5 linked regions of the Mus musculus genome follow. The protein of the gene in region 1 interacts with the protein of each later gene in a biochemical or structural test. Links are inferred from orthologs where the notes say so. Each region holds a gene or a part of one and is shown in the gene's direction. Other genes may lie near its edges. The genes, in order: Actb, Hip1r, Sptbn2, Hnrnpu and Pfn1.

What was found.
Region 2: the proteins of Actb (region 1) and Hip1r form a complex in vitro, tested with the Homo sapiens proteins (2 studies listed by BioGRID). The link is inferred for Mus musculus from reciprocal best matches to the Homo sapiens genes ACTB and HIP1R.
Region 3: the proteins of Actb (region 1) and Sptbn2 form a complex in vitro, tested with the Homo sapiens proteins (2 studies listed by BioGRID). The link is inferred for Mus musculus from reciprocal best matches to the Homo sapiens genes ACTB and SPTBN2.
Region 4: the proteins of Actb (region 1) and Hnrnpu form a complex in vitro, tested with the Homo sapiens proteins (2 studies listed by BioGRID). The link is inferred for Mus musculus from reciprocal best matches to the Homo sapiens genes ACTB and HNRNPU.
Region 5: the proteins of Actb (region 1) and Pfn1 form a complex in vitro, tested with the Homo sapiens proteins (2 studies listed by BioGRID and IntAct, with this or other methods). The link is inferred for Mus musculus from reciprocal best matches to the Homo sapiens genes ACTB and PFN1.

The regions. Positions count from the first base shown.
Region 1 is NC_000071.6:142,903,949-142,908,138, reverse strand, and holds the start of Actb (actin, cytoplasmic 1), read left to right. Parts: upstream 1-1,384; 5' UTR 1,385-1,487; intron 1,488-2,446; 5' UTR 2,447-2,452; coding exon 2,453-2,575; intron 2,576-2,662; coding exon 2,663-2,902; intron 2,903-3,356; coding exon 3,357-3,795; intron 3,796-3,890; coding exon 3,891-4,072; intron 4,073-4,190. UniProt on the Homo sapiens protein: Actin is a highly conserved protein that polymerizes to produce filaments that form cross-linked networks in the cytoplasm of cells.
Region 2 is NC_000071.6:123,990,619-123,994,128, forward strand, and holds part of Hip1r (huntingtin-interacting protein 1-related protein), read left to right. Parts: intron 1-323; coding exon 324-404; intron 405-819; coding exon 820-896; intron 897-1,125; coding exon 1,126-1,187; intron 1,188-3,510. UniProt on the Homo sapiens protein: Component of clathrin-coated pits and vesicles, that may link the endocytic machinery to the actin cytoskeleton. Binds 3-phosphoinositides (via ENTH domain).
Region 3 is NC_000085.6:4,717,702-4,721,211, forward strand, and holds part of Sptbn2 (spectrin beta chain, non-erythrocytic 2), read left to right. Parts: intron 1-1,117; 5' UTR 1,118-1,139; coding exon 1,140-1,296; intron 1,297-3,054; exon of another isoform or gene 3,055-3,143; intron 3,144-3,510. UniProt on the Homo sapiens protein: Probably plays an important role in neuronal membrane skeleton.
Region 4 is NC_000067.6:178,335,014-178,339,311, reverse strand, and holds the start of Hnrnpu (heterogeneous nuclear ribonucleoprotein U), read left to right. Parts: upstream 1-1,496; 5' UTR 1,497-1,740; coding exon 1,741-2,359; intron 2,360-3,153; coding exon 3,154-3,265; intron 3,266-3,356; coding exon 3,357-3,430; intron 3,431-4,298. UniProt on the Homo sapiens protein: DNA- and RNA-binding protein involved in several cellular processes such as nuclear chromatin organization, telomere-length regulation, transcription, mRNA alternative splicing and stability, Xist-mediated transcriptional silencing and mitotic cell progression.
Region 5 is NC_000077.6:70,651,841-70,656,150, reverse strand, and holds Pfn1 (profilin-1), read left to right. Parts: upstream 1-1,500; 5' UTR 1,501-1,670; coding exon 1,671-1,802; exon of another isoform or gene 1,803-3,026; intron 3,027-3,171; coding exon 3,172-3,364; intron 3,365-3,929; coding exon 3,930-4,027; 3' UTR 4,028-4,304; downstream 4,305-4,310. UniProt on the Homo sapiens protein: Binds to actin and affects the structure of the cytoskeleton. At high concentrations, profilin prevents the polymerization of actin, whereas it enhances it at low concentrations. By binding to PIP2, it inhibits the formation of IP3 and DG.

The DNA.
Region 1 (4,190 bases):
GCTGGGGTGATGGTCACCTCTTCCAGACAAGGCCTCAGCAACTTCAAAATGCCCTGCCACCAGCCAAGAACAAGGAAGCTGGCCACTGTAGTCCATATATGGATGAAGCCTTCTTTGGTTTCAACACCTACACTTTGTGAGCCAGTGAACACCTACCTATGCATGCACTGAGGCACGGCAGGCCCAGAGCATCTCACCTGAAGCACCCTTCTTGCCTAAATCCAGCTTTCTGTCACACTCTCCCAGAAGGTGCGTGTCCTTCTAAGCTAAGCTGAGGGATCCGGCCCTCAACCCTGACCCCGTGTGTAGCTCTCAGCCAAATAGCTGGCTTGCTAAGTAGAACACTGGTACTTAGGTGAGGGGGACAGGGGCTGCTTCTCTCTGGAGGATTTGGGGCTCCGGTGACCACCAACTTTTCCCTGAGCAGCTTGTCACTCCCAGAATCCCCACGGCTGGCAGATGGACTAGTGCACAACTCAGCTGTGGCTGCACATAATAAATAGAGGATAGATGGTGGGCCCCAGCCCAGCGATGTCTGGCAGTCACCCAGAGACACTAGCTAACGGCCCAGGCTTAGTCTTGCCTGGGTGTGATCAGGCAGTTCTCCAAAAGTGCCTGACTCCATGAGAAGTTTTGTTTGTTCTATTGAGCACAGTTCCTTTCTAGATCCGGGGCAGGGGATATCTGGAGGCATCTTCTTGCAACACCTCCAGTTATTGGACCACTGGGGCTCGCCCTATGCTTGGGATAGGATGGCCTTGAGTCTCTAAGAGGTCAAGATCCATGAAAACCTCTCCAACCAGAGTTCTGCTTCCAAGTTGAACCCCAACACACCTAGCAAATTAGAACCACAGCAGAAGGGGCCCCCCCGGATCTGGCTTTCCGGCTATTGCTAGCAATTGCTAGCAAGGGGGAGTGACTCTCTGTCCATTCAATCCAGGCCCCGCGTGTCCCTCAAACAAGAGGCCACACAAATAGGGTCCGGGCCTCGATGCTGACCCTCATCCACTTAAGTGCTCGATATCCACGTGACATCCACACCCAGAGGGTCCTGGGGTGGTTGGGTGACCCCCAGAATGCAGGCCTAGTAACCGAGACATTGAATGGGGCAGTGTCCACAAGGGCGGAGGCTATTCCTGTACATCTGGGCCTACGGAGCCAGCACCCATCGCCAAAACTCTTCATCCTCTTCCTCAATCTCGCTTTCTCTCTCGCTTTTTTTTTTTTTCTTCTTCTTTTTTTTTTTTTTTTTCAAAAGGAGGGGAGAGGGGGTAAAAAAATGCTGCACTGTGCGGCGAGGCCGGTGAGTGAGCGACGCGGAGCCAATCAGCGCCCGCCGTTCCGAAAGTTGCCTTTTATGGCTCGAGTGGCCGCTGTGGCGTCCTATAAAACCCGGCGGCGCAACGCGCAGCCACTGTCGAGTCGCGTCCACCCGCGAGCACAGCTTCTTTGCAGCTCCTTCGTTGCCGGTCCACACCCGCCACCAGGTAAGCAGGGACGCCGGGCCCAGCGGGCCTTCGCTCTCTCGTGGCTAGTACCTCACTGCAGGGTCCTGAGGATCACTCAGAACGGACACCATGGGCGGGTGGAGGGTGGTGCCGGGCCGCGGAGCGGACACTGGCACAGCCAACTTTACGCCTAGCGTGTAGACTCTTTGCAGCCACATTCCCGCGGTGTAGACACTCGTGGGCCCGCTCCCGCTCGGTGCGTGGGGCTTGGGGACACACTAGGGTCGCGGTGTGGGCATTTGATGAGCCGGTGCGGCTTGCGGGTGTTAAAAGCCGTATTAGGTCCATCTTGAGAGTACACAGTATTGGGAACCAGACGCTACGATCACGCCTCAATGGCCTCTGGGTCTTTGTCCAAACCGGTTTGCCTATTCGGCTTGCCGGGCGGGCGGGCGGGCGGGCGGGCGCGGCAGGGCCGGCTCGGCCGGGTGGGGGCTGGGATGCCACTGCGCGTGCGCTCTCTATCACTGGGCATCGAGGCGCGTGTGCGCTAGGGAGGGAGCTCTTCCTCTCCCCCTCTTCCTAGTTAGCTGCGCGTGCGTATTGAGGCTGGGAGCGCGGCTGCCCGGGGTTGGGCGAGGGCGGGGCCGTTGTCCGGAAGGGGCGGGGTCACAGTGGCACGGGCGCCTTGTTTGCGCTTCCTGCTGGGTGTGGTCGCCTCCCGCGCGCGCACAAGCCGCCCGTCGGCGCAGTGTAGGCGGAGCTTGCGCCCGTTTGGGGAGGGGGCGGAGGTCTGGCTTCCTGCCCTAGGTCCGCCTCCGGGCCAGCGTTTGCCTTTTATGGTAATAATGCGGCCGGTCTGCGCTTCCTTTGTCCCCTGAGCTTGGGCGCGCGCCCCCTGGCGGCTCGAGCCCGCGGCTTGCCGGAAGTGGGCAGGGCGGCAGCGGCTGCTCTTGGCGGCCCCGAGGTGACTATAGCCTTCTTTTGTGTCTTGATAGTTCGCCATGGATGACGATATCGCTGCGCTGGTCGTCGACAACGGCTCCGGCATGTGCAAAGCCGGCTTCGCGGGCGACGATGCTCCCCGGGCTGTATTCCCCTCCATCGTGGGCCGCCCTAGGCACCAGGTAAGTGACCTGTTACTTTGGGAGTGGCAAGCCTGGGGTTTTCTTGGGGATCGATGCCGGTGCTAAGAAGGCTGTTCCCTTCCACAGGGTGTGATGGTGGGAATGGGTCAGAAGGACTCCTATGTGGGTGACGAGGCCCAGAGCAAGAGAGGTATCCTGACCCTGAAGTACCCCATTGAACATGGCATTGTTACCAACTGGGACGACATGGAGAAGATCTGGCACCACACCTTCTACAATGAGCTGCGTGTGGCCCCTGAGGAGCACCCTGTGCTGCTCACCGAGGCCCCCCTGAACCCTAAGGCCAACCGTGAAAAGATGACCCAGGTCAGTATCCCGGGTAACCCTTCTCTTTGGCCAGCTTCTCAGCCACGCCCTTTCTCAATTGTCTTTCTTCTGCCGTTCTCCCATAGGACTCCCTTCTATGAGCTGAGTCTCCCTTGGATCTTTGCAGTTTCTGCTCTTTCCCAGACGAGGTCTTTTTTTCTCTCAATTGCCTTTCTGACTAGGTGTTTAAACCCTACAGTGCTGTGGGTTTAGGTACTAACAATGGCTCGTGTGACAAAGCTAATGAGGCTGGTGATAAGTGGCCTTGGAGTGTGTATTGAGTAGATGCACAGTAGGTCTAAGTGGAGCCCCTGTCCTGAGACTCCCAGCACACTGAACTTAGCTGTGTTCTTGCACTCCTTGCATGTCTCAGATCTATCCATACAGTTTCACCTGCCCTGAGTGTTTCTTGTGGCTTTCTGAACTTGACAACATTATTTATTTTTCTCTACAGATCATGTTTGAGACCTTCAACACCCCAGCCATGTACGTAGCCATCCAGGCTGTGCTGTCCCTGTATGCCTCTGGTCGTACCACAGGCATTGTGATGGACTCCGGAGACGGGGTCACCCACACTGTGCCCATCTACGAGGGCTATGCTCTCCCTCACGCCATCCTGCGTCTGGACCTGGCTGGCCGGGACCTGACAGACTACCTCATGAAGATCCTGACCGAGCGTGGCTACAGCTTCACCACCACAGCTGAGAGGGAAATCGTGCGTGACATCAAAGAGAAGCTGTGCTATGTTGCTCTAGACTTCGAGCAGGAGATGGCCACTGCCGCATCCTCTTCCTCCCTGGAGAAGAGCTATGAGCTGCCTGACGGCCAGGTCATCACTATTGGCAACGAGCGGTTCCGATGCCCTGAGGCTCTTTTCCAGCCTTCCTTCTTGGGTAAGTTGTAGCCTAGTCCTTTCTCCATCTAAAGGTGACAAAACTCCTGAGGCCATAGTACAAGTTAAGTCTGATTTCTGTCACTCTTCTCTTAGGTATGGAATCCTGTGGCATCCATGAAACTACATTCAATTCCATCATGAAGTGTGACGTTGACATCCGTAAAGACCTCTATGCCAACACAGTGCTGTCTGGTGGTACCACCATGTACCCAGGCATTGCTGACAGGATGCAGAAGGAGATTACTGCTCTGGCTCCTAGCACCATGAAGATCAAGGTAAGCTAAGCATCCTTAGCTTGGTGAGGGTGGGCCCTGTGGTTGTCAGAGCAACCTTCTAGGTTTAAGGGGAATCCCAGCACCCAGAGAGCTCACCATTCACCATCTTGTCTTGCTT
Region 2 (3,510 bases), about 19 Mb from region 1:
CCTGGATGCCACCAGCTCTTTAGTAAAGTGCCCTGCTCAGAACTGGCCTGTTGCCCCGACAAAGTGCTCTCTTTGCCTCTCACAAGACTTTCTCTGGCAAGAGTGACAAGGAATGAGGTTAAGGAGGGGAAGCTAGAGACAGAGTAATGAGATTGGTGAAGACTAGCAGGAAATGTTTGTTGAGCGAGTGAGTGACTGATTTGTGGAAGAAAGGCCTGCTTCTCTTGCTACCTCTTTTCTTCCTGTCTGGGCACATGCTCAATCCTTGGGATTCCTAGGTGTGTTCTTGACAGTGACCTCACACAGGGCTCCCATCCCCACAGGGCCACCTTCGTGACCAGTATGGACACCTGGTGAATATCTATACCAAACTGTTGCTGACTAAGATCTCCTTCCACCTTAAGGTAGTCTCCCTGAGCAATCATGGACTATGGGACTGGGAGGCTCTTCTCTCTGTGACATCCTGGGGCATAGAGGGGGTTGGATGGCACCTGTCCATCCATGCTCTGTCCACTTGCTGTGGAGGCTAGGAAGACTGGCAGGAGATCATCGGGCTGTCTCCATGTTTGCATAGATCCAATGCAGATGCCAGCCTGTGTGTGCTCCAGTGGCCTTGCCCGTCAGTCCTGGTCAGGCTGCCCCTGCCTCAGCCCCAGGATTTCTGTCGGCCCCTTTGGCTTAACCAGAGAAGCTGGGATCACAGAATGAGGGGATTGAGAAACCTCCCTGGCGACTCCCCTTCTCATGGGAGCTGTCAGGAGCAGGGATGGGACCCGTGTGTGGCTGCTCAATGAGGCTGCGTGGGGGCTGTTTCTGCAGCATCCCCAGTTTCCTGCAGGCCTGGAGGTAACAGATGAGGTGTTGGAGAAGGCGGCGGGAACTGATGTCAACAACATGTGAGTCTGTGTAGCCTCAGTTTCCCCCAAGTGCCTGCCCACTGGGGACCATGTCAAGTGAGGCCACAGGGCTGAAGGTCATGACCCCCAGGGGGCCAGGCTATGGGTGAAGGGGTTTATCAGGTACTCCATGTTTCTGCCTGATGGAGTTTGCTTCCTGTTCCTAAGGGGTCTCGGGGATTGTGTGGGTGTGCCCTGCTGCCCTTTGCATCCCCGTCTTTTCTCCTAGTTTTCAGCTTACCGTGGAGATGTTTGACTACATGGACTGTGAACTGAAGCTTTCTGAGTCAGGTGAGCAAGTCACTCATGCCAGGCTGTGAAGGCACTGGTGGGCAGGCTGGATTTTCACTTGTCTTTCCTGCTGTTGGGGTGAAACCTGGGCCCCACTGACACTGGGCGAGTGATTCTTCTGATAGAGCACCCACAGTAACCCAGGTCTTACGTGCACCTCTTCCTTGGGGTCCCTCTCCCTCCAAGACAGAAGGGGGCCTCATGGTACCTCCAGAGCACAAGCAGAGACTTCCCTTCCTCGAGACCCTACGTGTGTCCAAGACATGGCACATGAAGGCCACTATGGGCCCCTGGGTGTGGAGGGTGGGGTGTGCCCCATGGAGGACCCTCTAGGCTCCTGCCTGGCCTCGGCACCGCACTACTCTCCAGGAGAGAAAACATGGCTAACATTTCCTACTGTGTGTTCTGAAATGCCTCACGGTCCTGTCAGACTGTTCAGCCAAAGAACTGGCAGCTGTTGGACAGGAAATCTCTGAGGGCTCACCCTCCCCGCCCGCCTGGGAGGTGATTGTTCTGGGCTGTACCTTCAAAATAACTGCTGTGACTCACTGTTGGCTATGATGAAGCCCAAGGCACACGCCTTTTTAAGGAAAAACAGGGAATTGGGAAGAGGCAGGACAGCCACTCTGTACGCTGGGTCTGGGCCTGTGGCTCTGGAGGGTGAGAGGCCAGCGTGGAGCCTGTCCAGGAGTAGGACAAAACGGCAGGTCACCAGGGGTGTGGCCCAGTAGTGCAGCTGGACCCAGGCCACCAGGAATTGAGTCCTGGCAGAAAGGGGAAGCCCGAGCTCCTCAGAGCACACAGGCCGTGAGATTCAAGCCGTAGCCCTTGTGTCCCACCCTAGCTGCTCTTGACCTAGGAGGAGGCCCAGGGGGAAGGACCTGCAGGCCCCTATCCTTGGTGACTTATAGAGAGTGGGCACACGTAGGTGACAGAAGATAGAAACCCCTGCAGGTCTACCTCAGTAGAAAGCCCGCTGTAACACACTGCCTTCAATGGGAGTGCAAGGCTGTTAAGAGCGATGTGCCTCAGAAGGCTGAGGCAGGAGAATCGTGAATTTGAGGCCTGCTTGAGCTAGAGTAAGTTCAAGGTCAACCTGGGGAGCTTACTGAGACCCAGTCTCAAAAGTGAGAAGGGCTGGAGAGCGCCCTGGCCCTGTGGCTGGTCCTAACTGTCCAGTTCTAGGGGATCTGATGCCCTCTTCTGGCCTTTGAGGGCATTGCAGGCATGTGGTGCACAGGCAAAACACCTATACATAGAAAATAAAGGAAAGAAAACTTTAAATAAGAGGTCCGAGTTTGGTGGCACATGCCCTTAATCCTGGTGCTTAAGAGAAAAAAATCAATCATATATCTGAGTTTGAGACCAATCTGGTCTCGATTAGCCAGGGTGGCACCTAAATAATGAAGTGCTTGCCTAGCATGTGGGGGTGGGTGGGTGGGCGACACTCTGGGGAGGAGGGAGGGGCAGAGGAAGGGAGAAAGGAAGGGCACAGAACAAAACCAGAGTTTACACACACACACACACCCCAAGATAAAAAAAAGCCAAAACCAAACAAAGAAACAAAACCCTAGTGTGGCTTCCATCCTTGCAGACAGCTCCTCCCCCCCCCCCCCCAGGCATGGCCAGACCAAGGGGCTGAGGGCTTCTGGCACCACTCAGATCTGCCCCACATGGGGCCTGGCTGCTCTCCCGGCCTGGCTCACTGCCCCGCTCTTTGTCATTCCCCTCTCTGCCCCAGAGAAGATGCTGGCCAGGGGAGGCAGCCTCGTGTTTGTCCTTTGTCTGTCCCTCTTTCTCTGGAGTTCTGATACAAGGCCTGATTGTCAGGGTCTCCAGGACAAGTGAGGAGGCATCAGGTCATTTGGGGCTCACAGAGCCTGTGTTCAAGGCTGTGACCTGGAACAGACACTAGCCAGTCTCCACAGCTACACGATGGGCTATTACAGTGACAGTCTTTTTACGAAAACCAAAAACCAAACCCGTATGGTGTTTGGCCTGCATGTACATCTGTGTACCATGTCTATGCCTGGTACCTGTAGAAGCCAGAAGAGGGCATCAAACCCTCTGGCACCAGAGTTATGGATTAGTTGTGAGGGTGTGTGTGTGTGTGTGTGTGTGTGTGTGTGTGTGTGTGTGTTGGGAAATAGAACCTAGGTCTTCAGGAAGAGTAGCCAGCACAGTAGCCCCTAAGCCACCTCTCCGGCCTCTTTTGTTGTTTTTGAGACAAGGTCTTGCTTTTCAGAAGTTTGGCCTTGAGCTCAATCCTCCTGCCTCAGTTTTCTGAGCAGATTATAGGTTTGCACTAACATGCTTAGTTGGA
Region 3 (3,510 bases), on another chromosome or scaffold:
GTTCGATTCCCAGCACCCACAGGTCAGCTCACAACCATATGTAAGGTCAGTTTCAGTGACTCCCGCATCCTCGTTTGGCCTCACTGGGCACCAGGCAAACGCATGGTACACATGCAAGCACACACAGGTATACACACACACACAGAGCAAAACTTTCATATCCATAAAACAAAATTGAAAAGACATTTTTTAAAGTCAGAAAGAACCTTGCTTCAAAACCCAGTATGTAGCTTCGAGCCAAATAACCCTGAGCCAGTGGGTTAACAGCAGCAGCAGCGTGGCTACTTCATCTATGAATCAGGGAAGGCCCTCCGCTCATGAGTGACAGGACACACGGCACAACTGACACTTGTTAAGAACTTAGGAAGCATTTTCTGTAGCAACAAAAGAGCCCTAGAGGTAAGAGCCATGCCTTGCCCCCTATGAGCACCTAGACATTTGGTCCGTGCCTGTCTCAGTTCGGCCATCTTTATGCTTCTGTGGTAATTTACCTCAGCTCTAGAGCAGAATCTGGGCCTTTAATCTCCAGGTACTTACAAAGAAGACTCAGAAGAAGAGTAGAGCGGGAGTCTGAAACCATCATCTTAAAGCTGCTGTGTGCGTGACCCTGAATCCTTTGTGTCTTCCTTTAGCATACCTGCTCTGTCCTATGGAGCTCTGGCCTGTGGCCCTTGAAGCCCTTGCAGGCTCCAATGCTTCCTTCCTTCAAGTGCATGTGTCTCTCCTCATCATTCCTGTCTAGCCACTCCCTCAGGGTGGCTTCCCACTGGGGGCTGATTTTTTTTTCACCAACAAAAGAAAGCTACCCAGTCATAACCTCTGGCTCCAGCAAAGCCACGGAGAGCTGGGGCAAGCAGATAGAAGAACATGATAACCCAGCATGGTGGTGCACACCTTCAGTCCCAGCACGTGGGAGGCAGAGGCAGGGGAATCCCTTACGTTTAAGGTCAGCTTGGTCTACAAGGCAAGTTCCAGGACAGGCATGGCTACAGAGATAAGCCATGTCTTGAAAAATCCAAACAAAAAGCAGAAGAAAGGCCTGGTGAGCAGCGGCTCAGCCTCACACACACCCCCCCCCCCCCCCCGCGCGCTGCTCATCAGCCACGTCTTTTTGCAGGAACAGGAAGCCACCCACCACCATGAGCAGCACTCTGTCACCCACTGACTTTGACAGCTTGGAGATCCAGGGCCAGTACAGTGACATCAACAACCGCTGGGACCTGCCTGACTCAGACTGGGACAATGACAGCAGTTCGGCCCGCCTCTTTGAGAGGTCCAGGATCAAGGCCCTGGCAGGTACGGGAGGGGCAGGGAGGCGAAGGGATTGGTAGAGGTGGGTTTCTGAGCTTGCGATGGAGAATCCTCTGTCTTTATGGGAAGACTTGCCTCGGTCTCTAAGCTGCTGCTCTGAAGAAACAGGTACCGACCCCTGGTCACCAGATCCAACCTCAAGGACAAACCCCATGCAGTGTACAACACCCCCTAGTTTTCTTCTCCCCTAGCCTGGCGATGCCACACACATTAACCCCTGGAAGGAGCCAGCTGGGTAGATGAGCATCTACCTGCATCGGGTCTCTGCCCCTGCAGTGCTTTGCCTTTATATCTCTAGTTGTCACTTCTGTCCCCATCCACTTCTCCCTCCCCTCCCCTCCCAACGTTTCCCACAGCTGTTCCACTCCTGGCTCATTATCTTCCTGGCACTCTCCCCGCCCTCCTACCTGCTGCCTGTGACTCCAGTTATTTTATTTACCTGTTCCCTGAAGCAGTTCTCTCAGCAGCAGCCCTCCCATTCTCTCAGGGCTTGTGCTCCACCCACCCCCTCGGCCCCTGCCCTCCCCTATGGCCAGGGCTCTCCCCTTGGCTGAGCTGGGACAAACAAACCAGTCTGACTGGCCTCCTGCCTGGGGGGGGGGGGGGGCTGTGGTCATAGCAACAGGAGTGCAGCTGCCACCTGACACCACCACCAGCCTGTGGCTGTTTTGGGATTGACTCACCTACACACCCTAAGGCCACCCACCCAGGCTGCCTTCCACAATCATCCCACGGACCTGCCCGTGGCCCAGCCAGTTCCACTATGGGAGCTTATTCCTCATTACTTCCACACAGGGAGTGATTTCCCAGTGGGGCAGCTCCCAGCAGAAGAGTTTTGGAGGCCCAGAGAATTTTTTACAAATACCAGTTCTCAAGAAGGACATGTAGTCCAGAAACTCAGGACTCTTAAAAGCTTTCCGGACAATGGTTCCAGCTCGTGGGGTTCATGGGTCACTTTCTCCTGGCATCTTCCTAGCTGGGACTGGAGGCCGGCTGATGAAATACTCATATTAGTACTTCAGTAGCTCAGGGAAGACAGAAAATGTGGGGCGTGGAAAATGTCACCCCTGTTGGAGAAGTGTGCCTGGCAGCCTGGGTTTAGATTCGGGAATCCTCTATCCGCTCGCTCTCATTGATGTTATGGTGCACATGCTACCCAAAACGTTCATGGTATCTGCAGTGACACATAACTCCCAGAACTGTCACTGTATCAGGACGGGTCACATGCCAACCAGTGTGATCATGAGCTCTATGTGCACATGCTACATGCCACCCAGTAAATTTGCCAAGTCTAGTTCATATGACAGGTGCTACCCGAAGCTCTCACGACGTCTGAGCACGCCACATACCACTCAGTACTGCTACCATGCCCGAGCATTTGACACATACTTCCCAATATTGTCAAACTCTGCACATAAGACCTGTACCAATCAGAACTGTTACAGTGCACGCGCACGCGCACACGCAGTGTCTCATTGAGTGTTTATTCCCCTGGAGAGGCATCTGTGAATGGCCATGGCTTTGTACAGTGCCACTCACTCAGTAGGTGCCAAATAAACCCTAAATAATTAAAACGAGGAGGAACAAGCGTGGGTTAAGAGTGACAGAAGCAGAGGCCTAGGAAGAGATAGGAAGGGCCCTGATAACGTGCCCAGTATTAGGGTGTCCGGGGCTGGGATATTGACTGAGGAGCTGGTGGGCTGCGGGAAAGGGCTGGTACTGGAGGGCAGTCACAGTACTTACTCCCCAGAGGAGGCCATAGGGGTCAACACCTGGCTTCTCTTCCTGAATCTCCTTGCTTCCGCGTTTCTCTGCTCTCAGGGCTGAGATCAAAGCTCAGCTATCCCGGAACAAGCCCACCTAGAGATGCCCAAAGAAGCTGGCCCACCTGCAGACCTTCTGAAAGCAGGAGTTTGCTTTGGGGCCCTCTCTGGCAGTTTTCCCCTAGTCTTGGGCAACTAGTAGCCTGACGAACAGGTCTCTGGGTGCTGGCAACTCCCTCCTCCGCCCCTGCAGGGCCTGGCCATGCCCCAACTGGCTCCGCCTCCTAGGCAGCCTGCCCCTCCCCCGCCACTGTCCGACCTGTTTGTCTGGAGCTGCCTCTGTCTCCTCTCTCTACAACCAGGTGTGCCCCACTCACTGTCTCAGAAGCTGAGGCATCCCATAACTTTTTCCCCACTCCTTGAAACTCCCAGCATC
Region 4 (4,298 bases), on another chromosome or scaffold:
GTCTCAGGTATCTCCTACTGGCTTTGAACTTTTGTAGCCAAGGATGACAATGAATTTTATTGACTGAGTTGCTTAGTTGCTTAGCTTGAGACAGGGTTTCTTTGTGTAGCTCTGGCTGTCCTGGAACTGGCTTCATAGACAGGGTGGGGGTGGGGGTGAGGGGATGGGGGTGGGTGGGTGGGGTGCCTCTGCTTCCTGAGCGCTGGAGCCAAACTTGGGTGTCACCACTGCCTGCCTGGCTGACACTGAATTCTTGATCATCTTACCTGTATCTCCCAAGTGTTGAAATTATACACATGTACCACCAAGCATAGCTTGGGTGCAATCTACACAGGAAGGCCCCAGTGTAGAAATTAAATTCTATATAAAAGTTTCAAGAACACAACATATTTAATGCCAGAAAACAAATCATAATTTTTTTTCTTTTCTTTTTTGAGATAGGGTCTGGTATTCAACCCAGATAAGCCTGGAATTTACTAAGTAGCCCAGGCTAGCTTTTAACTCTTGATACTTCTGCCTCACTCTGCCAAGTAATAGAACTACAGGTGTTTTCTTTTTTTACTAAATCCCAGCCTTTTGTTACTACCAGTTTGTAGACAAGTCAGCAGGTATACAAACATGTTTAGAGTGGCTGAAAAAACAGGGAGAGGATCAAAGTGCATAATCTAGCTGGGTGCTGGCTGTCTTCCTCATCTGTAATTAAAGGGTCTCCAAACTGGTGGATCAGATTTGCAGGGGACAGAGGCCTATCTTTATAGTACAACGAGGGGAACTTCCATGAAAATCTAAGGCTTACTCAAAGGTCAATAGAAAATACGGTGAGTAGCAACACAAGGCCCGCTCTATATGGCTGTTAGGCATGGTGGAGTACAGCAAGCCTCTTTCCCAAACCTTGCACCACTGGTTGGGGAAGAGACAAAAGAAAGGCTCTGGCCTCGCCCTTGCGGAACTTAAAATAAGTCCGACTGGCAAGGCAGGACTTGTAAAATTTAAAAACGCAGTTAAATGGTGGAAAAACTAAACAAAACACCACCTTTGCATAACAATCGCCTATGGGTGTTCTACAGGGCAGCGGTGGAAACTTGAAGAGTTTTTTAAACCTAGAGCCGGAGGGACAAAAAAAAAAACAAAAACCAAAACAAAAAAAAAAAAACCCAAGAAACAACAACAAAAAAAACAACCCGAAAACCAAAAAACTAAACTAAGATGGAAGAAAGGAGGTTGTTCTCGAGTGGAAAATGCCAGGTGAGGACTGAAGGCGGGTGGAGGAGAGCCTCCGCCAGGACACAGAAGGCAGAGCGCCGGTGGAGCGCGGCGGCTCAAGAGCCGGAAAGGCCGGCGGCCACTGCGGCGGGTCCGTTTAACCGAAAGGTGGCTTCTAAGAGCCTCCATTTGCGCGGTCCGGCCCAGCGCGGAGGTCGCGCAGTGGGGGCGGGGCGGGGCCTGCGCGCGCAGCCGCTCTAGCGGGCCTCGCCTCGGCAGGGGGCGGGGCGCCTATATTACGTGCGCGGCGCCGCCCCTGCGAGAGGACGTTGCGTGCTCGCTCGCGCCGGGCGAGTCTCCGCGTCTTGCCTCGCGAACTCGGTGAAAGGAATTGGCGCCGTTCGACACCAGGCGGGTCCGTTCTGCAGCAGCACTCAGCCATCTCCAGCCGCAGCCGCCGCCCGGGCCGACCAGCAGCAGCCGCCGCCGCCACAGGCCGAGGGAGCCAGCAGTCAGCGGGGAACCGGGGCCCTCAACATGAGTTCTTCGCCTGTTAATGTCAAGAAGCTGAAGGTGTCGGAGCTGAAGGAGGAGCTCAAGAAGCGGCGCCTCTCCGACAAGGGCCTCAAGGCCGATCTCATGGATCGACTCCAGGCCGCGCTGGACAACGAGGCAGGAGGCCGCCCCGCCATGGAGCCCGGGAACGGCAGTCTCGACCTAGGTGGCGATGCGGCCGGGCGCTCGGGAGCGGGCCTAGAGCAGGAGGCCGCGGCTGGCGCCGAAGACGACGAGGAGGAGGAGGGCATCGCCGCTCTGGACGGCGACCAGATGGAGCTGGGCGAGGAGAACGGGGCGGCGGGGGCGGCTGACGCCGGCGCGATGGAGGAAGAGGAGGCAGCGTCGGAAGACGAGAACGGCGACGACCAGGGCTTCCAGGAGGGGGAAGACGAGCTCGGCGACGAGGAGGAGGGCGCGGGCGACGAGAACGGTCACGGGGAGCAGCAGTCCCAACCGCCGGCAGCGGCGGCGCAGCAGCAGCCTTCCCAGCAGCGTGGTGCCGGCAAGGAGGCCGCGGGCAAGAGCAGCGGCCCCACCTCGCTCTTCGCGGTGACGGTGGCGCCGCCAGGGGCGAGGCAGGGCCAACAGCAGGCGGGAGGTAAGAAGGCGGAAGGTGGCGGGTGAGTGTTGCGTGATGGGTGCGCGTGGCGGTGGGGACCGTGCCCCAGGCCTGCCGGGGCCCCTCGGGGCGAGCGCCGCGGGAGGGTGGGGGCGGGGGAGCCCCGGGAGGCTCTGCTCGCCATGCCGGCGGCGCCTCCATTATGTATGTCGGGCGCCGGGGTGGGGGGAGCGCTGCAGCTGCCGCGGTGGGGGGGCCGGCCGGGCGGGAGCGCCGGCCGCTGGGGCGCTGCGTGCGCGCGGTCCGGGCACATGTCGGCGGTGGGGGGAGGGGAGAAGCCCGAAGGTCCCGGAGCGGGCGGGCTTTGGCGGCTTAGCGCCGCGGTATTGTGCAAGGAGCGCAGGGGCTCGTGGTGACGTCACTTCCGGCGGCAGGCGCGGGGAGCGGGGCGGAAGCTCAGTACAATGCGGCGGCGGGGCACGCGGGCTCGTGTGGGGGAGGGGAGGTGGGCCCAGGCTTCCCCCCCCCTCGTTTGAGCGCGGCCGGCGCACGTGGGCCCGGGCGGTGTCCCGCTTTTTTTTTTTTTAAACTCTTTTTAAAAAATGCTTTCTGGAAGGTTGCGGTAGGCTGGCAAGTTCAGTCTTCAGACTGCGTCACTGTGTCCAGTCCAAGTCCAGACTTTTTTATTTTCATTTGTCGATTAAAAAAGTCAAAGAATCAGTCAGAAAAAAATAATCAGTAACAGCTCTTGAGGCTCGAAACACAAAAGGTGCTTAACTGCATTATTTAGTTTTCGGCCTGATGCTTTAAGGCGGTGTTCTGTGTCGTTATAGGAGACGGCAAAACAGAACAGAAAGGTGGAGATAAAAAGAGAGGCGTTAAAAGACCGCGAGAAGATCATGGCCGAGGGTATTTTGAGTACATCGAAGAAAACAAGTACAGCAGGTAGAGGCTCCTCACCCAGTTTTAACAGTCGCCCGCTCTTTTTGTATACAAGGTGGGGAAAGCTTTATCAGGAGACAATTCTGTCTTTCAGAGCCAAGTCTCCTCAGCCACCTGTTGAAGAAGAAGACGAACACTTCGATGACACAGTGGTTTGTCTTGATACTTGTAAGTGAGGCGGACTTTCCCGCTCTTTGCTAGTTTTCAAGTGCAGTGTTAACATTGGTTTTAAGTGTTAGGAAAAATGTGTTGATCTTAAAGTGGAAAAAACCAGTTAAGAAACTTATTTTAAAGCAGGAAGGTAGTAGCTTAATGCTCAGGCTACAGTAGTTTAATATTAATACCACTTCAGTTGTATTGATTTAACAAGCTCTAGTAATTGGTAATATTTACGAGTTGAAACTTCTCAGTACTTGGGGGATGTAAAACTAAATAATTTTTGCTCGGCTATCAGAAACTTGTTTTTTTAAAAACCTGCCTGTAACTTGTCCTTAGATTACATGATTTAGTTTTTTCTCGTGGAACTATGTTAAGTGAGCTATTTGGGCTAGTTGAATACTTACTGATTTTCCCATTAGCACACAAGTGTATTCCCTATTCTAAGGATTGTAATATTAACTTTCAATAACTGCTCTTTTGTTCTCAATTCCAGTTCAGTAGCTGCTGCTTTAACATAAGTTGATTTCTTCCAAAGACCTGGGGCAGCAGCAGTGGGCTATCTGAGCCACTAGCTTTCTTCAGCAGCGAATGGTATCAATGGCAGCACTGTAAATATGCTACTTAACCCAGTTGGGTTGCAATTGAATATGAGGAAGTATTGCAAACCATGAAATGGGCTTTAGCTGTCAGATTTGTATTTTTATCCTTTAAAGAAGTCAGTTTAGTATTTAATAAGAACATATCTTTTGGTGTGAGCAGAACAAAAAAAGTACAAATCAGTGCTTAGTTACAGGATTTCACTTGGTAGAAGGGGTTAAAAGCTTGGATTCTCATGTTTTCCCTGTACAAATTGTTCAGAGCCCTGAGAGTTAAGTGT
Region 5 (4,310 bases), on another chromosome or scaffold:
CGGCGGCCGGCTCTCGAGCGCTCCTCCCCGTCGGCCCTCCCCACGGGGTCGCCCTCCTTGCCTCCACCCTAGGGTCCCCACCTGTCGTGGCGTCCCTGTCCCGCCCCTCCTCTCTTATCTCCTGCCGCTCCCTGCGGGATTTTTCCACCCCCGGGCAGGAGGCGCGCAGATCAGAGGTCAAGGGATGGCGGGCGCAGGCCGCCACGTGCCCCAGCGCGGCCCCGCCCGTGACTCAGCCACGCGGCTGTCGAAGAACCTCGGCTGGGGGGCGTGGGGAGCCAGAATTTGGGGATGAACGTCAGGGAACCCAACCCGGCTCCAAAAGGCAGCGAACCAAGTACTTCCACTGGGAGAGGCTGCACACCCTGGCGCCCCTCCTCCGAGGGACCGGAAGCGGCCGAGCCCCTCGGAGGCCAGGGTCCCGGGTGACTCCTTTACTCCCTCCAGCCTCAGTGGCCTGCCATTCGCCCCTAGACCTGCTCGGCGGCGAGTGAGCTGACCGCACATAAATACTTAGCAAAAGTTTTTCTGGAAAAGAAGAAAGCCCCAGTGCGTCCAAAGTAGAGGGGACTTTCCTCTTCTTATAAAAGTTGTCATCCTTGGTACTTTAGTATTCTTCCGCCTTGAAAAATGAGTCCCGTCGTGTCACCCGGGTGGCGCCCCTATTCAGTGACCTCTGTAGACAGGGTTCAGGCATGGGGCGAGGCTGAGCTGGAGCGGATCCAGCGAAGGGAATGATTCCTCGGGAATCTAGGGACGCGCTCGAATGAACCCAACGTGTGCGCTGTACATGGCAGACGGTTGGGACAGGTGCCCTGGTTGGAGAGACCTTTAGTACTGAAAATGACTAGAGTATTATATCGATTTCACTTTTGCTCCCTTATCGTTTAGATAAATGTGGAGAAGGCAGCAGGGCCCAACCCGGGGCGTCTGCCCGTCCCGACTGCTGGGGACGCGTCTTCCCTCCTCGGATGGTCCAAATGTGTCCCGCCAGGCGCGCGCTCACGCAGCCAAGCCGCTAGCCCCAACCGCCCCACGCGCTGGCTTCTCACTGCCCCGGCGCAGGCGCGGGCGCACGCGCCGCCGCCCGCCGTTCCTTCCCTCCCGCGGAGGTGGGGGTTGGGGGGTGGAGGAATGATTCGGTTTAACCCTGGGTTCCCCGAACCCACTTCAACTTGCTCAACCTTACTAATTTTCTTTTTTTTTTTTTTTTCTTTTTCTTTCCCTGCTTCCTCTGGCTTCCTCCTTCTATAGCCAAGTGGTATTCAGGATGAATCGGAGCGAGCCCTAACCTTAACCTCTCCTGCCACCACCACTCTATATAGCCTTTGGCGTGGCTTTCCATCGAACTCGGCAAATTTTGCAAAGTGGGGGGAGGGTTTTTTAAAAATTGCATTTGCAAAAGTTCGCTATCTGGCCCGGCGGGGGGGGGGGGAGGATGGAGGGAGGGAATGGGGCGCAGGCCCCGCCCCGCCGCCCTTTGCAAATAAAAATCTAGAGGGGGGGGGGAGGAGCAGGAAGTGGCGGTGCGAGGGCTGCTGCACAGCTAACAGAGCCGCGTTCCGGACGGCAGCGCGTGCCCCGAGCTCTCTGCCTTCCCCCGCCCGCCAGCCCGAGCCCGAGCCCGCGATCCCAGCAACAGCCCGCAGAGCAGCCCCAGCAGCAGCGCCATGGCCGGGTGGAACGCCTACATCGACAGCCTTATGGCGGACGGGACCTGTCAGGACGCGGCCATCGTAGGCTACAAGGACTCGCCCTCCGTCTGGGCCGCCGTCCCCGGGAAGACCTTCGTTAGCATTACGGTACTGCGAGGCTCGTGCGGTCCCGAGCAGTGACCGGCCTTAGACCCTCTGGGGGACTGGGGTGGGGGCGGGCGCAGGCGAGCGAGGGCAGCGGGAGGCCGTGATCCGGTCCTCTCCCATCGGCGGGGCGAATGGCGGCTGCGTGAGACTGGCTCCCTCTGTGGTTCCCCGGGCTCTACGCCCCTCGGCGGCGGCGCCCATCTCGCCCGCCGCCCCGCTTTCTGCGACCGGGCGTTACATCCGGGGCCCAGGGCGGGGAGGGGCGCGGCGGCCGGTGCGGCGGCCCACTTCCGCCTCCTCCAGGGCGGGGCGGGCACGCGCTGCAGTTTTAGCCCGGGATTATGATTGATAAGGGGCTCCGGAGCCTGGACTCCCCTTCGGGCCGAATGCTCGCTCTCCCTCCACCATTGTTCCCCCTGACGCTGATGGGAGCGCCAGGCGCGTGGCCTTGGGCCCGGGCCGGACCTCGGTAGCCACCCTGCCCCTCCCAGCTCCGTTAGAGAGGGCGAGGCCGCCACACACACACACACCCCCCAAGTCGGCACGTTAGCCTCAACATTCCTGGGAGGCCGATTCCGGAAGTCCCCTCGCCCTCCCTTCCCGCCATCCGCCCGGGCCCGGCGTAGGGGAACTTTGTGAGAAGTTCTGAGACGGTAAAAGTGAAGGAATAAGGTTGCTGCTGTCCCTACCACCACCTTCCCTGACCACACTGCCCGGAAGTGGGGAGGGGGAGCGGAAGTTCGAATGGGGGGAGGGGATTTCCGGGCGGGAGGGTACCGGATATAGGGGTTTGGGGGTTTAAGGGGGAGAAGGAGAAAGGTTCTCTGGGATGTCTAGACTCACACACAGACTAGTCTCCTGCCCTAATAAACTTTTTGAACTTAATTAGAGAGCCCCCGGGGTCAGCTTCCTTATCTTGGGGCATAGCTACCTGGACCCAAACTCCAGGTTACCCGGAGACCCAGGCGTCCGGGCTCCTAACAACGCCTGCAGAACCTTTGACCAAATAAGGACAAAGTTACTTCTCCTCCCTTCCTACCCCCTCCCTTCCCCTCTTTGCTTCTGCTTTTCCTGAAGGGCTGTTCTGAGCATCCAAAGGCTCCCCCTCGATCATTGATCGATTTCTGGTACCCAGCATTTGCTTTCCCTATTAAGCATGAACATCTAAGACTTCAGAGGAATACTTTTTCCTCCTTGACCCATTTACCAGACTTTAGGACCATGATCGGTCTCTGCAATACCCACAGTACTGGGTTTTCCCCCCAACTTTTGGTGGTGTGGATGAAGCACCCTCAACTCCAGCTCCACAGTACATAAGAGGACAAGTTATGCAGGTGCACTAACTTAATGAGGTGATTAATTCTTTTAGCCAGCTGAGGTTGGTGTCCTGGTAGGCAAAGACCGGTCAAGTTTTTTCGTCAATGGGCTGACACTTGGGGGCCAGAAATGTTCTGTGATCCGGGACTCACTGCTGCAAGACGGGGAATTTACAATGGATCTTCGTACCAAGAGCACCGGAGGAGCCCCCACCTTCAATGTCACTGTCACCATGACTGCCAAGAGTGAGTTTGACTGATTCTCTAGCTTTGAAATCCTTTTGTTAGTCACTTTATGTGTCCTCAGTGTCAAGGCTGCATAACAGTATTTACTCTGCTGGTTATGGGAACCGTGGATGGTCCTTTGGGTTCTGACTCTGGCTCCCCAGCTTGTAAAGAAACTAAAACTTATATTACCTCTTAAGTCCCTTCTTGCTTTGAGCTTTTTTGAGATTAGTTTGCTTAGGGCAGTTGGGATCTTAAGTCAGCATTTGGCTCTAATCTCCAGTTCTGTAAAGACTTGAGAGGTAGGAAGCGCATCACAGCCGTTCCTAGCCACCTACAGCCTGGAAGTTTAGGACCTCTAAATTTTGCCTTTTTCTTTACTACTCTTAAAGCTCTTTTTTTTTTTTCCTTCTTTGAAAAGCTCTATTGTTTTAGGATGACTGACAGCCTGCCTGTGTATAAGGGGGGGAGGGCTGGTTAGGAGGGCTGAGGTTAGGTTACAACCCCCGGGGCCAGACAGCTGCTGAACAGCTGGCAGGGTTGAATTGTGACACCTGGGTCCTAGCTTCCTTTTTCTTTCCTCCAGCGCTAGTCCTGCTGATGGGCAAAGAAGGTGTCCACGGTGGTTTGATCAACAAGAAATGTTATGAAATGGCCTCTCACCTGCGGCGTTCCCAGTACTGACCTCATCTGTCCCTTCCCCCCACCGTTCCCTTTGGCTTTTGCACCCCCTTCTTTCCATACACACACATACCATTATTTTTTGGGCCATTACCCCATTTCCCTTATTGCTGCCAAAACCACATGGGCTGGGGGCTGGGGCTGGATGGACAGACACCTCCCCCTACCCATACCCCCTCCTGTGTGTGTTTGGAAAATTTTTGTTTTTGGGTTTCATTTTTTGTTTTTTGGTCTTTTTTTTTTTTTTTTTTTTCTGAATAAAAAAAGATTCTACTAACAAGGACCT